Linked DNA regions of Bombyx mori. The protein of the gene in region 2 purifies or fractionates together with the protein of the main gene of each other region. This does not show direct contact. Links are inferred from orthologs where the notes say so. Each region holds a gene or a part of one and is shown on either strand. Other genes may lie near its edges.

Region 1 (4,226 bases), on a different chromosome or scaffold from region 2:
CCTTATAAATCTCAACACCCAGTATATTACTATTGGGTTTATTCATTTCCTTACTTATATTTTTTCGATGACATTTTGAACATAGCACAGATATATTTACAGCACTATTTAAAAATATCTGATGTCCTATATTATTTTCATAGGTATCAAGAATAGCGGAATATAAACCCAATGACGAGCATGCTATCGCTGGTAAAGTGTGACAAACTTGTGCCTGTATGTGGTGATCCTTACTTAGGAAACATGGCATTAAAACATCTCCAATTAATCTACTTGCTGAATATGTTTTGTTTAATTGTAACAAGGGACATAGTTCAATAACCTAAAAAATATATTAAATTAAATCTTAAGTTGTAATATTTTTAAGAATCGTGAATATTTCAAATGGCACACTTACTTCACTTTTAAAATTCATTTTCTCCTTAAAAATTGTTTCTGTTAAAAAGTTTATTATTATGTTCCAGGTTTCAGTGCATTTTGTTTTCAGAATAAGTTTTATAATCAGTAAATATTTCAAAATCACAATCTTTATGCTGTTATCAAACCTTAAATCCTTTTCACTAAATTGTACATTGTTTTGTAAACACAACAATTGTAGAATCTTACTACCTTCTGTAGTTGTTAAATTCGAGTTAAGTACAACTACACTAAGTATTATATTTAGAAATATTACGAGACTTTTTTTATCATCTAATAGAACAGCTTTGTGCAATTTTATAAGCTTTAGCAGAGATTTTAATGTAGTTGTAGTATATTGTGTCTGACTTTGAAATGCAGCTCTTCTGTCGCTCTTTAGAAGTCCATTTTGTAATATACTTAAAGAAGAGAAACATCGCTCCAAATGATGGTTTATGATAAAGCTATCGGTATTTGTTTCTTCACATGATTGTAATGTTTTAACAACCATTATTAATTGATTAAAAAACCAATTCTCATTTAGATCCACTGCTTTAGTATTATTAACATGCTTTATGATATTTTTAGAGTAGTAAATAGAAACGGCATCTATTTCTTTTGCAACCATACTCTCGACGTTAATAATATCTTTAGGATAATTCAATTTGTGACTTAGTGCCAAACACTGTAGTTTTAGTTCATGGCTGAATATATCTGATCTCTTTGTCTTCAACATTACTATACAGATACTCGATACAACACTTTTATGTTCTTCATTTAAATGCTGAGCAGAATCTCTTATGAGTTCACCTATTACTTTATTTATATCTTTAATGTAGATATTGTCTATTTCACCTTGCTCATAGAAATTTTCTAAGGAGTGAACAATAGCTTCTAGACAATTTAGCACTTCTCTGAATTCGTCAGCAAAAATATATTGAAATTTGGCAATGCCAACAGTCTTATAATTCTTAACTAAATTAGAAAAAAAATTTAAAGAATTTAATTTCAGATCTACACTGAAATTTTCTAAAATATATAAACCCTGTTTGAGTACACTTTTATATTGAAAGTTGTTTATAGAGTTTTTCATAGAATTTATGGGTAAATTGTCTGATAGAAGCTGTAGTATTAAATTTATCAAATGTTTACATGTTTTCAAATTTTTTACTTTGACAAATATGGGATCCAAATTTATTTGCACAAATGGGATTTCCACTTTTTCTGGAGCAAAGTGTGGTAATGTTATTTCTATATTGCTATTTAAATATGAATCTTCATAATATTTTACAAGTGTATTTAATGCCGATATGTATTCTGATTGGATCGTACTGTAAAATGATGCATTACCAATACATAATATGTTCAATATTTTTAACTGAGCATCTTTACTTGCTGTGTGTATTCTGTAAAAAGAAACCATTACTGCAAGGCACAATCCTATCTTGCTATCACTAAAGCTGTGACTCAAGCTAAATTGAGCAATAACCACTACAACATAATATCCATCCATATAATTTATCAACATCTTAATTTCGAACACAATTTTCCCTTTAGATCCTGAATGGAGAACTAGCAATAAGACATGTCGAAAGTCCCATTACAGCACAGAAGTGGTTACTTTTGCTTTTGAATAAAGGTTACAATGGGTGCACAGCTAATCAATCTACTGTCTAGCACTTAGAACACCTTTCAAACCTTGGGGCCGTGAGATTGCTGAGGGTGACTAAACTGTGGATAAGGTTTAATTTTTTTTAATGAAAATCACTAAATTTAAATATTTTACGAAATGCACAAACCTAAGAAGGTATTCCTCTGACCAAATGTAAAATAGCCTTCCAATTAACCATGTATTAAATGCACTATAGTAGACTTCAGGGTATTTTTCGTAACCAACTCTTGGAACTAAATCCTCTGAAAAATCTCTGTAGAACAAATTGATATTGCAATTAATCTTTAGGCAAATAATCAGCTTAAATATAGCGTGTTTGTTCAAATAACAAAAACTTAATAGTTTACCCAGAAAATTTTAAAATTGATGTTATTAATCGGTCCAGCCCATCTACAGCATGTTCTAGATTATTAAATAAAACCACAGTAGGTTCATTAAGCTTTTGCCACACTGTGAATGGTCCATCCTGGTAGTCATCTTCCATTTCTATTTTAATAACCTTTTTGGAACGATATCCTAAATTAGTTTGTAATAACTTAATCTCCGCAATTCACGCGGAATTCCTATTCGTTTTCTAGTTTGTTGATAATCTCTGTTTGAAGTTTTTAATAAAAACTGCACTTCCAAGTTTGTTATATACACAGGTTTGAAAATATTTCAAAATATTTCAAACGTACACCTTTTTTATGAGATTTTGTGACCTGGTAACTAAGACCTTTAGATCAAGTATTATTTTAACTCAAACCTTTACAAAGTTCTTTTCTGCTTAATATAGGTGTATTCACTATACAGACTCCAAAATAAGTGTATTGTCTATTACGGATGTAACTGACGGACAGACTTGAATGGGGATCTCAAATCACTTATTCAGATTCCATTTTATGATACAACTAATATTGAAGTGAAAACTTCTTTAGAATCGGTTTGATTTCAAACCGGATGCAACGGAAAAAACGACAGGTAAGAGACACAAATACAAAAATGTGTAGGATGAAGCCAGCAAAGAATGAGACAGAAATATACATACTATTTAATACAGCGCCATCTGTGAGATTTTTTAATACTAACGTGTGTATGAAAGCTCTTGTAGTGAATTTTAATTTAGGATTATACGTGAAATTAACATATTAATTCACAGAGAGCGCTACCTTACAATTATTTACTAATGACAAAATTTTACATATACTTAAGACGTTTAGGATAATTGTATTTTAATTTTGGAAGGTTTCACTTCTACCACGTGTGAATTGCACATATTTTGTTTTTTTAATGAATCGAAAATATATGTAACGAATATCTGTTTCAGATAGAACGCACCCATAAATAAATTACTAATAATTTAAATTCAGTCAATCAATTGTGAAATACTTAATTAACGAATGGTTGAACACATCTAAACACAAAATTTTAAATATTGTTTAAACTAATTAAATCACTGGACATCAGTAATGCTAGAGACATGCTAACTTGCTACCTGCTGCTGTGAAGTCTTTTTATGCACGATTTAAAAAAGATTTATCACAGAACTTGATTAATACTGAAGCGGGACGCTTATCCAGATCGCAGATCCAGACGTTACAAAATTGATCTCTGAAAATCTACTATGAATTAGTGATTCCAGATATAATTTATGCACTCTACTCCAACAACGGTATTTTATCAAAATATAGGCAGCACCAATAACAATCTTTAAAACAGGCGAGCCGTATGCTCACCTGCGTACTAAGATTATGTTAGTAGTTACAATTCCTACAAGTCATTATTTTTAAATCTGTAAAAAAATCGTATAATTATACATTTTTCAATTCAAGTTGAACAGCAACACGTAATCATTATCATTTTTATCATATTTGAGTCGTCTATTATCAAAGGTGGCAATCTGTGTATTTGGACAAAAAAATGTTATTGATATGGCGATACAGATTGATTTGAATATAATCGTCTCCTTCAAAGAATACGATTCAAAACCTGCGTTAAATAAAGGTTAATACTTAACCTGTTATTTATCTAAGATGTCGTTCAGAAGAGTTTTATGACTGCCAATGGAATACAAAGTCAATAATTCGTTTTTCTGATTTACCAATAATTGTCCAAAAGTCACATTGCCGGCTTTGATAATAGTCGACTCATTTAATGTAGCTGATCATTTCGTTCTCTA
Region 2 (4,290 bases):
TGTATGTGTGTTTGTCACTAAACTCCTAAGAAAAGGGGCTGATTGTGATGATTTATTTAAAATCTAACTGCTTTATTTTTTTCCTTTCAACTCTATTTTTAAGTTATCATTTACTATCAGTTATCAGTTATAATTTATTGGGGTAAAAATGTTTGAATTAAAATTTAGTATGTTGATTAAAAAATACATACTCAAATTCAACTTTTGTCATTCGATCTTTCAGTGAGGCATACATATCTTGTTTACTAATTCCTTGTTCAACAGTAGAGCCACGGATAAGGTTGAAGACCATCATCTGACGAGAATTTAAGCCATTCACTGAAGAGGTTTCAGTAATTCCAACCATTGAATTTGCAGGCAGCATGTTGTTAATTGGGACATCTTGAATATTTTTTTCCTGCAAAATAAAATCCAATTTATGAAGTAATGTATAGCAAAAAACATGTAGGCGGAAGCACCATTCATGATGGGACATAATAATCCACAGCAATGATGCAACTCAAATGCACTAGCAAGAGCTGAATGATAACTAAATTTGTAGTTCTGTCTTTATCAGAATAAAGGGTTCAAGTTTGAAAATAGTAGATTATTATTTTAAAATAAAACTGAAAAAAAGGAGAAGCATGTTGGATGTGCTGAAATTCATTTTATATGAAAATTGAAATGGTAAGTCATTGCTGATGAAGAAGACATCATTTACATTGCTGAAGAATCAATAACAAATAATACTATACTATGACATATTTTTATGTACTGTACTGTAATAAAAATATCTGACAATTATTATCAACTCTTTTTGTTACATACAAGAACTAAATATTTCAAATACAAAATTCATGTGTATTAAGCTAAATGTTGCTTAAACCAAATAGTCTTTAACCCCTCAAAATATTGTGTTATAAGTAGTTACTTCTGCCTTTAGCTATGGTGAATGGAAATGCGAATAATAAATTTTAAGATTACCAGGTATATTAGAATTACCTTCTTTGAGCCAGCTTCCATTTGTATTTTATTATGAATGCACTGAAAGTAGTGAAATGTAATAATGTTGACATCAGTAACTGGCATTATCTTAAATGCCATGAGCACTTTTGTCCCTTTATTCGTTTTCACATTGCCGTAAATTTGTATGTAATCATTTACTTGAACTTTAGGTGATGAGGTATCCTGAAATTGAAGCTCAGAAAGATTTAATATCTGTTTTTTTTTATGTAAAATACTCAATATCTAAAGAATCAAAATGGCATATACTTAAATATTCAAAAAGCACAGAATAAGTTTAATAACTTAATCTGACTTTGAGATTTTTTTATTTTTTTTATTACCATGATTGTGGACATGATTAATGGATTAACTCATTTTAATTAATGATTTCGTTTACATTGACATTACTCTGAAACTGGAAGTAACTTTCACTTACTTCAACTTCCATAGCCTCTTGGTCGAGCCAGAGTACAGCCCTCATCCTCCCTGTTATATCTTGGATTGTATATGTTATTTTAGTGCTTTGCATTCTAATGCTCCTGATTCTTGCAACTATTGACACTATTTGAATTTCTGTACCCCATATTTTCACACCTTCTTCTCCAGAATGCAAAGCTTGCCTGATGACTATAGGTGCTGTCCGTGCCGCTCTACGACCCTGTGAATAAATGTATTATTAATATATTAAATTTTCGTAATCAATTGAATTTTATTTTTTTGTAAACTTACAGTTTTTTTGGGTGTTGCCGTATTTCCAAATTGATTTGTGGTGTTAAGGAAGCCACCTCCAGAAGGATCATCTGAATGTAACAAATTCTAATTAATACAGAAAAAACTATAAAGATAACCATGTAAATGATAAAACAACAAACCATTCCACATTGTTTTAAAGTAGAGGTCAAAATTGTTAGTTGAAGACTATTCTAGTAACAGCAGTAGTACAATGCACTAAACAATTCCGAACCGATCTTAATAGAAAAGGTAGTATGGTTTAATTTTTTTAGTTTTGATTCTTATTCCTGTAAACTTTTTTCAAGCGAGTAAGCCACTATAGTCGGATTTTTAATTAGACGAAGCTAGCTGACAGTAGCTAATGTCACTTTGTGAAATAATGTTGCTATATTTAAAGTAATAGTGATGCGTTCAGTTCTCGTTCAATCACGAATGAACAATGAGTGTGAAGAGTTAATCATTAATTTCAAACTATAAAAGAGTACTATTTATATTTTACAATAAAATTGTATTAAAGTGCTCCAATATATGTTGCTAGTAGTATGTAACTACAATCAGCTTTTTTATTTTCATTACTTACCTATAATTGTTATATTTTATACATCTATAATTTCAACTATATGATGTATTGGAAATAGGACAGTCTTACAAGTACTTCCTCGCAATGTTTTTCTTAATGTTTAAAACACTCGGTATTCAGTACAGGTAGATATTATAGGAACATAATATTTCGTCGAAAACTCGTTGGTATGTACAAAGCACGCCTAAAATTCGAACCCCGTACCCGATATCGGCAATTCGGCACACCAACTGTTCACTAGACAATCGAGGCAATTTCATTAATTCAGGAGTTTTTTCAATCGTTCACTTTGTCACAACACTATTTTTATTTCATCAAAAACTGACAACACAGTAAACGTCAGTTGACTTCGTCTAATAAAAAATCCGACTATAGGTTCACATATTTTATCTTCCAAAAGATGATGATTTATTTTGTTTCAGTAACTTTTAACAGTTTTAACCAAAATGTCCCTTTGGAGTTTGGCCAGACAGAAGTCTCAATTAATTCCCGCCATTTTATAGATTTTTTTGAATTTGTTTAGTGGATAGGCGAAGGGAATCTAGCCGAGAATATAATAAATATTAAATATTCTTTAATTCACTATCTAACATATTCAATTACAAGTAACATTACAAGTACAAGTGATATTGTCTGAGAGTGTAAAGGCGCCATATGTGCCGCTCCCTGTATCTGGCCTCCAGTCACCTCCTTGAGTTGGTCCACCCATCTAGCTGGCGCTCTTCCTCTAGCGCGCTTTCCCTCTATTTGTCCGAGAATTATGAGTTTCTCCAGGCTGTGCAATGAGGATCGCATTATGTGCCCAAAAAAACTCCGGATCCATTCCTGGCACATAGTCAGCAGGCGCTTGGTGACCTTCAGCTCTTCGAGGATGGAGACATTGGTTCTCATAGCTGTCCAAGGAATGCGTAGCAGCTTTCTCCAGCAATACATTTCAAAGGCCTCGATCTTTTTGCGTTCCTTTTTCCTGAGACACCAAGTCTCCACCCCATACAGGAAGATAGAGAAGACCAACGTACGAACCAAACGCATCTTAGTTACTCGGCGAATATTACGGTCTTTCCAGATTTTATTGAGGCTAGTCATGGCACTTTTAGCCATCCCGATACGGCGTCCGATTTCTTTCTCGCAGTTACCACTGTTAGAGATCAGCGACCCCAAGTATATAAATTCCTCCACTTTCTCATAATCCTTGAGCGCATTTGATGGACTTAAAACTTGAGCTCTGTCCACCGTCATCGCTTTGGTCTTAGAGCGGTTTATGTGCAGGCCAAATTCAAGGCTAACTCTCTCTATTCGCTCCAAGATCGCAGCCATCTCGGACTCGCTGGCTGCAAGGATTGTTGTATCATCGGCATATCTTAGATAAGATACACCACTATTTTAACTAATGTCCCTAAGAATAATATCCACTGACCTTACTTACTTTCTATTAAGGCCAAAGGCTTTGTTTGGCTTTGTTAATGAGTTCTGCAGATGATAAAATGAGAATCATAAAAATATGGATTAAAACAAGATATTTAGACATTACCCAGCCATTACCATTATTATTATAATTTAAATAGGTGGCACTATAATTCATTTAAGACTCTCTAAGATGAACATTGAAAAATACCAAATTATGATTAAGATTTATTGAGTGGCAAATAAACTTAGGGCTCACCTGCCGGTCATCGTTCTCCGTCGAATCCGCTGCTTGCGCACTGCTCTTGCCAGGGTTAGTGTTAGCAACGTCATTATGTTTGAGCCCCGTGAGCTCACCTACTTGTTAGGGTTATGCTGAAATAGCCTCTCAAGACTATCAGCTTAGGTAGGAAAAAAAGCCTCACCTGAAAGTTTTTTTTAACATTTTTTTTATTGCGTATTTGGGTGGACGAGCTCATAGCCCACCTAGTGTTTAGTGGTTACCGGAGCCTATAGACTTTTATAACGTAAATGCCGCCACCCAACTTTAGTTAAGAGTTCTAAGGTCTCAGTATGGTTATAACGGCTGC
Region 3 (4,160 bases), on a different chromosome or scaffold from region 2:
ATGATTCCTAAGTCTAATAATTAAACATATTTTATATGCCTACCTATCCTTAAATCAAGTTCTTGTCTGACATCTACTGCATTACTAGTATTCTTGTTTGGTTCTTCTAAGTTTTGTAAAGCTCTATTTACTGAAACTAATGTGATCTCTGAAAATTTTGCTCTATATATTTTCAAATTTGTCCTGGCAGCTTTACAAACATCAATAATCTCAAAACCTATGTTCTCTCCTTCTCTGTCACAATCCGTCCATATTATGAGGCCTTGACAGCTTCGAACTTCTCGCTCTAAGGTCATCTGTGAAGTGATAGTCAAATATTATTGTTGCTAGAATTGATCGTTCCATTAGAAAATGTTAAACATCAGTATATTGTTGAACTATTCTATATTTATAAGAAACTGAATAATTTTAAATCAAATATCTTTTTTATTTTTTATTGCTTAGATGTTTGGACGAACTCACAGCCCACCTGGTGTAAAGTGGTTGCTGGAGCCCATAGACATCTACAACGTAAATGCGCTACCCATCTTGAGATATAAGTTCTAAGATCTCAGTATAGTTACAACGGCTGCCCCACCCTTCAAACCGAAACGCATTACTGCTTCACGGCAGAAATAGGCAGGGTGGTGGTACCTACCCGCGCGGACTCACAAGAGGTCCTACCACCAGTAAAAAATCTTGAACTATTGATTATTAATAGACATATATGAGGGAAGCACCTCAAAGCTACACTTAATTAAATGAAACCCCTTTGTGCCCTAAGTATCAATCAAATCAGATATTTGAGCTTGTCTGAAGTGCATCAGATGTATACTTGCTCCGAGGTCGCCTTTAGCTATGATATTGTGCTTGTCTTCACTAGTTTTTATTCAATTATAAACATAAAATAACTGAGAACAAAAATAGTCATCTGGTCCCATACTAGGATTGCCTGTAGTATGGACAGAAGGCTAATATACATACTTATATATGAGTCGACTATTATCAAAGCCGGCAATCTGACTTTTGGATAATTATTGGTAAATCAGAAAAAAGAATTATTGACTTTGTATTCCATTGGCAGTCACGAAACTCTTCGGAACGACATCTTAGATAAATAACAGGTTAACTATTAACCTTTATTTAATGCGGGTTTTGAACCGTATTCTTTGAAGGAGACAATATTCAAATCAATCTGTATTGACATATCAATAACATTTTTTTTTCCAAATGCACAGATTGCCACCTTTGATAATAGACGACTCATATGTATGTTTAAATATAGAGATAATATTAATCATGTTACAAATGTTTGCCTCGTGTGGAAATTGAACCATTGACCCTCCGCCCAGCCATCAGGGCTACTAGCTACTGCACCATTAAGGCAATCAATCACTAACACTTCAAGATACATTTTCTGTTGTGTTACAGATTTTTTCAAAATAATATTCATAATACTAATACTCATCAGTAGTTACTAAGCTAAATAAAATAAAAACAGCTGACAAACTCAGGAGAAAATGTAGTTATTTGTTTTTTCTTTGCCTTTTAGATGTAAATAATATACAAGTAAGTACAGTAAAAACTCCTCATTTAATTTTGTGCTTGCTTATTTGCATATTCACTAGTTGCGGATTAATAAAATTAATAAAACACGGTTCCTACATTTGCAGCTAAAGACTTCTCCTTTTGCAGATCTAATTAGTACATCTGTACATACACATTGATAAAAGGGATTCCATAAGGTAGGTATACAAGTGAATGTCCTTTTTAAATATGCTTTTCCATATTCACGGTTTCTGTATTTGCAGCGTATTTACATAATAAATACCCCGCAAATAAAGAGCTTTTACTGTAATTGAAAACATTACTTTAGGAAGACAAAGCTCACCTTAATTTTTTGGTAATTCTCTGGGCAGTATTTGAAAACAGGTGCATCAAACAGTGATAGTGGGCTACAGGTTTGCCAGGTTCTGTATGTTCCACTAAATTCTAGGGCTAAGAGATGTCCTGATACTGAGGTCATCACCATTTCACAATCTTGCCCCATTACGTTGGCTTTAAATTGATATATTTTGTTGTACTTTGATAGTCCTTTACGCTAAAAAAAAACGAAAGGATTTAGCCTACGGTATAGCCTAGGGATGACAAACAGGGAAACTAAAATAGACAAAATAGTCCATAGGTTTGTAGAAATCAGTTCAGATTTTTGGTTGGGTCCCTTACAGATTATTTCACTTCTAGGGATCATCTATAAAAGATAAACCTGGCCGATGGCAACCGGCAGCCTGTCAAGTCTCCTTAGGAGTGGTAAATAATATATAGCACATAATTTGTGAGTACGACAGCTTAGCAAGAGCAACCAAAAGATAGCACGAAGTGCACACATACCCCAGTTGATGTTCCTTTGGATAGATGTGATGCAATATTTTTAGCTGCATCATTTTTCTCTGCTACATTTAAATATTTCATAGTAGAATATTTGTTTACAAATATCTGTTTGTTTACTAAAAAACAAAGTGTTCTATTCAATCTGCTATTTAGCTTTTCAAGGCATTGTAACATATTTTTTATAAACGTTATATTATTTTCATAACAGAGAGATAGAATCTTGATATTGAACCTATAAATGTGTATGCCTGCAGCAGAGAAAATTACTCTGAATATTCTGGGAATGTTACAGTAAAATTTATATCCCCGTAATATTAAATTTAAACTACATATCTGTTTAACCTATGTTTAAATTAGTGTTTAATTATAATCACTTAAATTAATAAACAAACATATTTGAAATAAACATCCCACAATTTATCAAATATTATGCGTCAATTGTCAAGTGTACCGTACCTCCATACGTACCTCTAATAAAGATATCTATGCCACATAGATCATAGAAAATACCAAAGAGTATATAATCACTTGTTCATGTCTGGGAGACCGCATGATGGGTCCGAAGAAGCTCATAATACGTTTCCGGCAGATGGAAGAGAGCTTTTTTCGGATGTTTAGCTGCCTTAAAATGGACTCGTTTGTTCTCATGGCAGTCCACGGTATTCGTAGCATCCTCCGCCATACCCACATTTCAAAGGCATCTATCTTTTTGATATCCCGTGATATTAAGAATTAAGTGTTATAAGTTTGACATAGATTTTCCTTTTCGCGATAGGGTATTAGGTTGCAATAATTTCATTTTTCAACAAGAAAGGGGAGGACATCATACCAAAATGCTTTTTCTTTAAATTTTCTGCTAAATAAAAAATTATATGAAACGATACATTATACGGGAAACGTGAGGTCAAGTTGATTTATTTGAGATTTTAATCAATTGGGATGAAATGAAATCAAACGTGAAGAGATGGAGTGGAAGTCTCAGTAAAATGGTTGTTTTTTATTGAGATTTCAGAGAATTTTTTAGAAAACTCCGAGTAGACACTTCTTATACTCCCCTACAGATACGATTCACTACTTCTTCAGTAAATCACCATTACTGAAGAAACACTAAATTAATGAAACAGTTCACATAATTTCACTCCTCGCGTGGGACATGAGCTCGTTGATCCATCCACGCAAAAAAAACGCGAAATCTTCCCTCTACATTTCATTAATTTTATTTATTTTTAATCTGTATGACTACGACGTCTATGATCTAGAAGTTGAAGCAAAAATGAACAAAAGTTCGCAAATTGTGTTCAGTGTCGTTTATTTTGTTCCCATTCGGATTGTTTTTCGATCTTAAAATGTTAACAAACTTACTTACAAGCATAATTGAGTATGACTTTAATATTCAGTGACAGTGTTTGTAGGTGTTTCTGACGGACATGTTTGTTTTTAACTCTTAAAATGTTAAAATTAGCGACCTTGTAGCTGTGAACGTATGTTATTTTGGTTGGCAGATCGAAGAAAAGTATGTATTATTATCGTTCGTTGGCTATTAGAACTTGTTTTGAATACTGTCAAAATAAATGACCTGTTTCTAAGTGGAATATAATCAATAAAAGCTACATAAAATTACAAGAACACTGACATTTCATCAATATTATGTGCACATATGCGCTTGATAAACATCACCTGGGGATTAGGCGAGCGTTATTGTTTACACAATGACGATGTTTCCTGCTTCTGGATCTGCTGCGGTGCCGCAGCAAACAATAAATGGGCAAGTAGTGCAAAACGGCAGCACG

The links.
Region 1: the proteins of Rpa2 (region 2) and serine/threonine-protein kinase ATR purify together in Homo sapiens (affinity purification with western blotting; 3 studies listed by BioGRID, with this or other methods). This does not show direct contact. The link is inferred for Bombyx mori from reciprocal best matches to the Homo sapiens genes RPA2 and ATR.
Region 3: the proteins of Rpa2 (region 2) and DNA topoisomerase 3-alpha purify together in Homo sapiens (affinity purification with mass spectrometry; 4 studies listed by BioGRID and IntAct, with this or other methods). This does not show direct contact. The link is inferred for Bombyx mori from reciprocal best matches to the Homo sapiens genes RPA2 and TOP3A.

Annotation. Positions count from the first base shown.
Region 1 is NC_085123.1:9,983,755-9,987,980, forward strand, and holds the start of serine/threonine-protein kinase ATR, read right to left. Parts: upstream 2,845-4,226; 5' UTR 2,553-2,844; coding exon 2,416-2,552; intron 2,322-2,415; coding exon 2,196-2,321; intron 1,803-2,195; coding exon 398-1,802; intron 323-397; coding exon 1-322. UniProt on the Homo sapiens protein: Serine/threonine protein kinase which activates checkpoint signaling upon genotoxic stresses such as ionizing radiation (IR), ultraviolet light (UV), or DNA replication stalling, thereby acting as a DNA damage sensor.
Region 2 is NC_085114.1:7,172,487-7,176,776, reverse strand, and holds the start of Rpa2 (replication protein A2), read right to left. Parts: upstream 2,806-4,290; 5' UTR 2,670-2,805; intron 2,035-2,669; 5' UTR 1,867-2,034; coding exon 1,857-1,866; intron 1,785-1,856; coding exon 1,714-1,784; intron 1,643-1,713; coding exon 1,421-1,642; intron 1,168-1,420; coding exon 982-1,167; intron 398-981; coding exon 192-397; intron 1-191. UniProt on the Homo sapiens protein: As part of the heterotrimeric replication protein A complex (RPA/RP-A), binds and stabilizes single-stranded DNA intermediates that form during DNA replication or upon DNA stress.
Region 3 is NC_085123.1:10,687,923-10,692,082, reverse strand, and holds the start of DNA topoisomerase 3-alpha, read right to left. Parts: upstream 2,845-4,160; 5' UTR 2,545-2,844; coding exon 2,371-2,544; intron 2,081-2,370; coding exon 1,871-2,080; intron 297-1,870; coding exon 44-296; intron 1-43. Other genes in the region: ras-related protein Rab-40C, read left to right, coding at 4,080-4,160. UniProt on the Homo sapiens protein: Releases the supercoiling and torsional tension of DNA introduced during the DNA replication and transcription by transiently cleaving and rejoining one strand of the DNA duplex.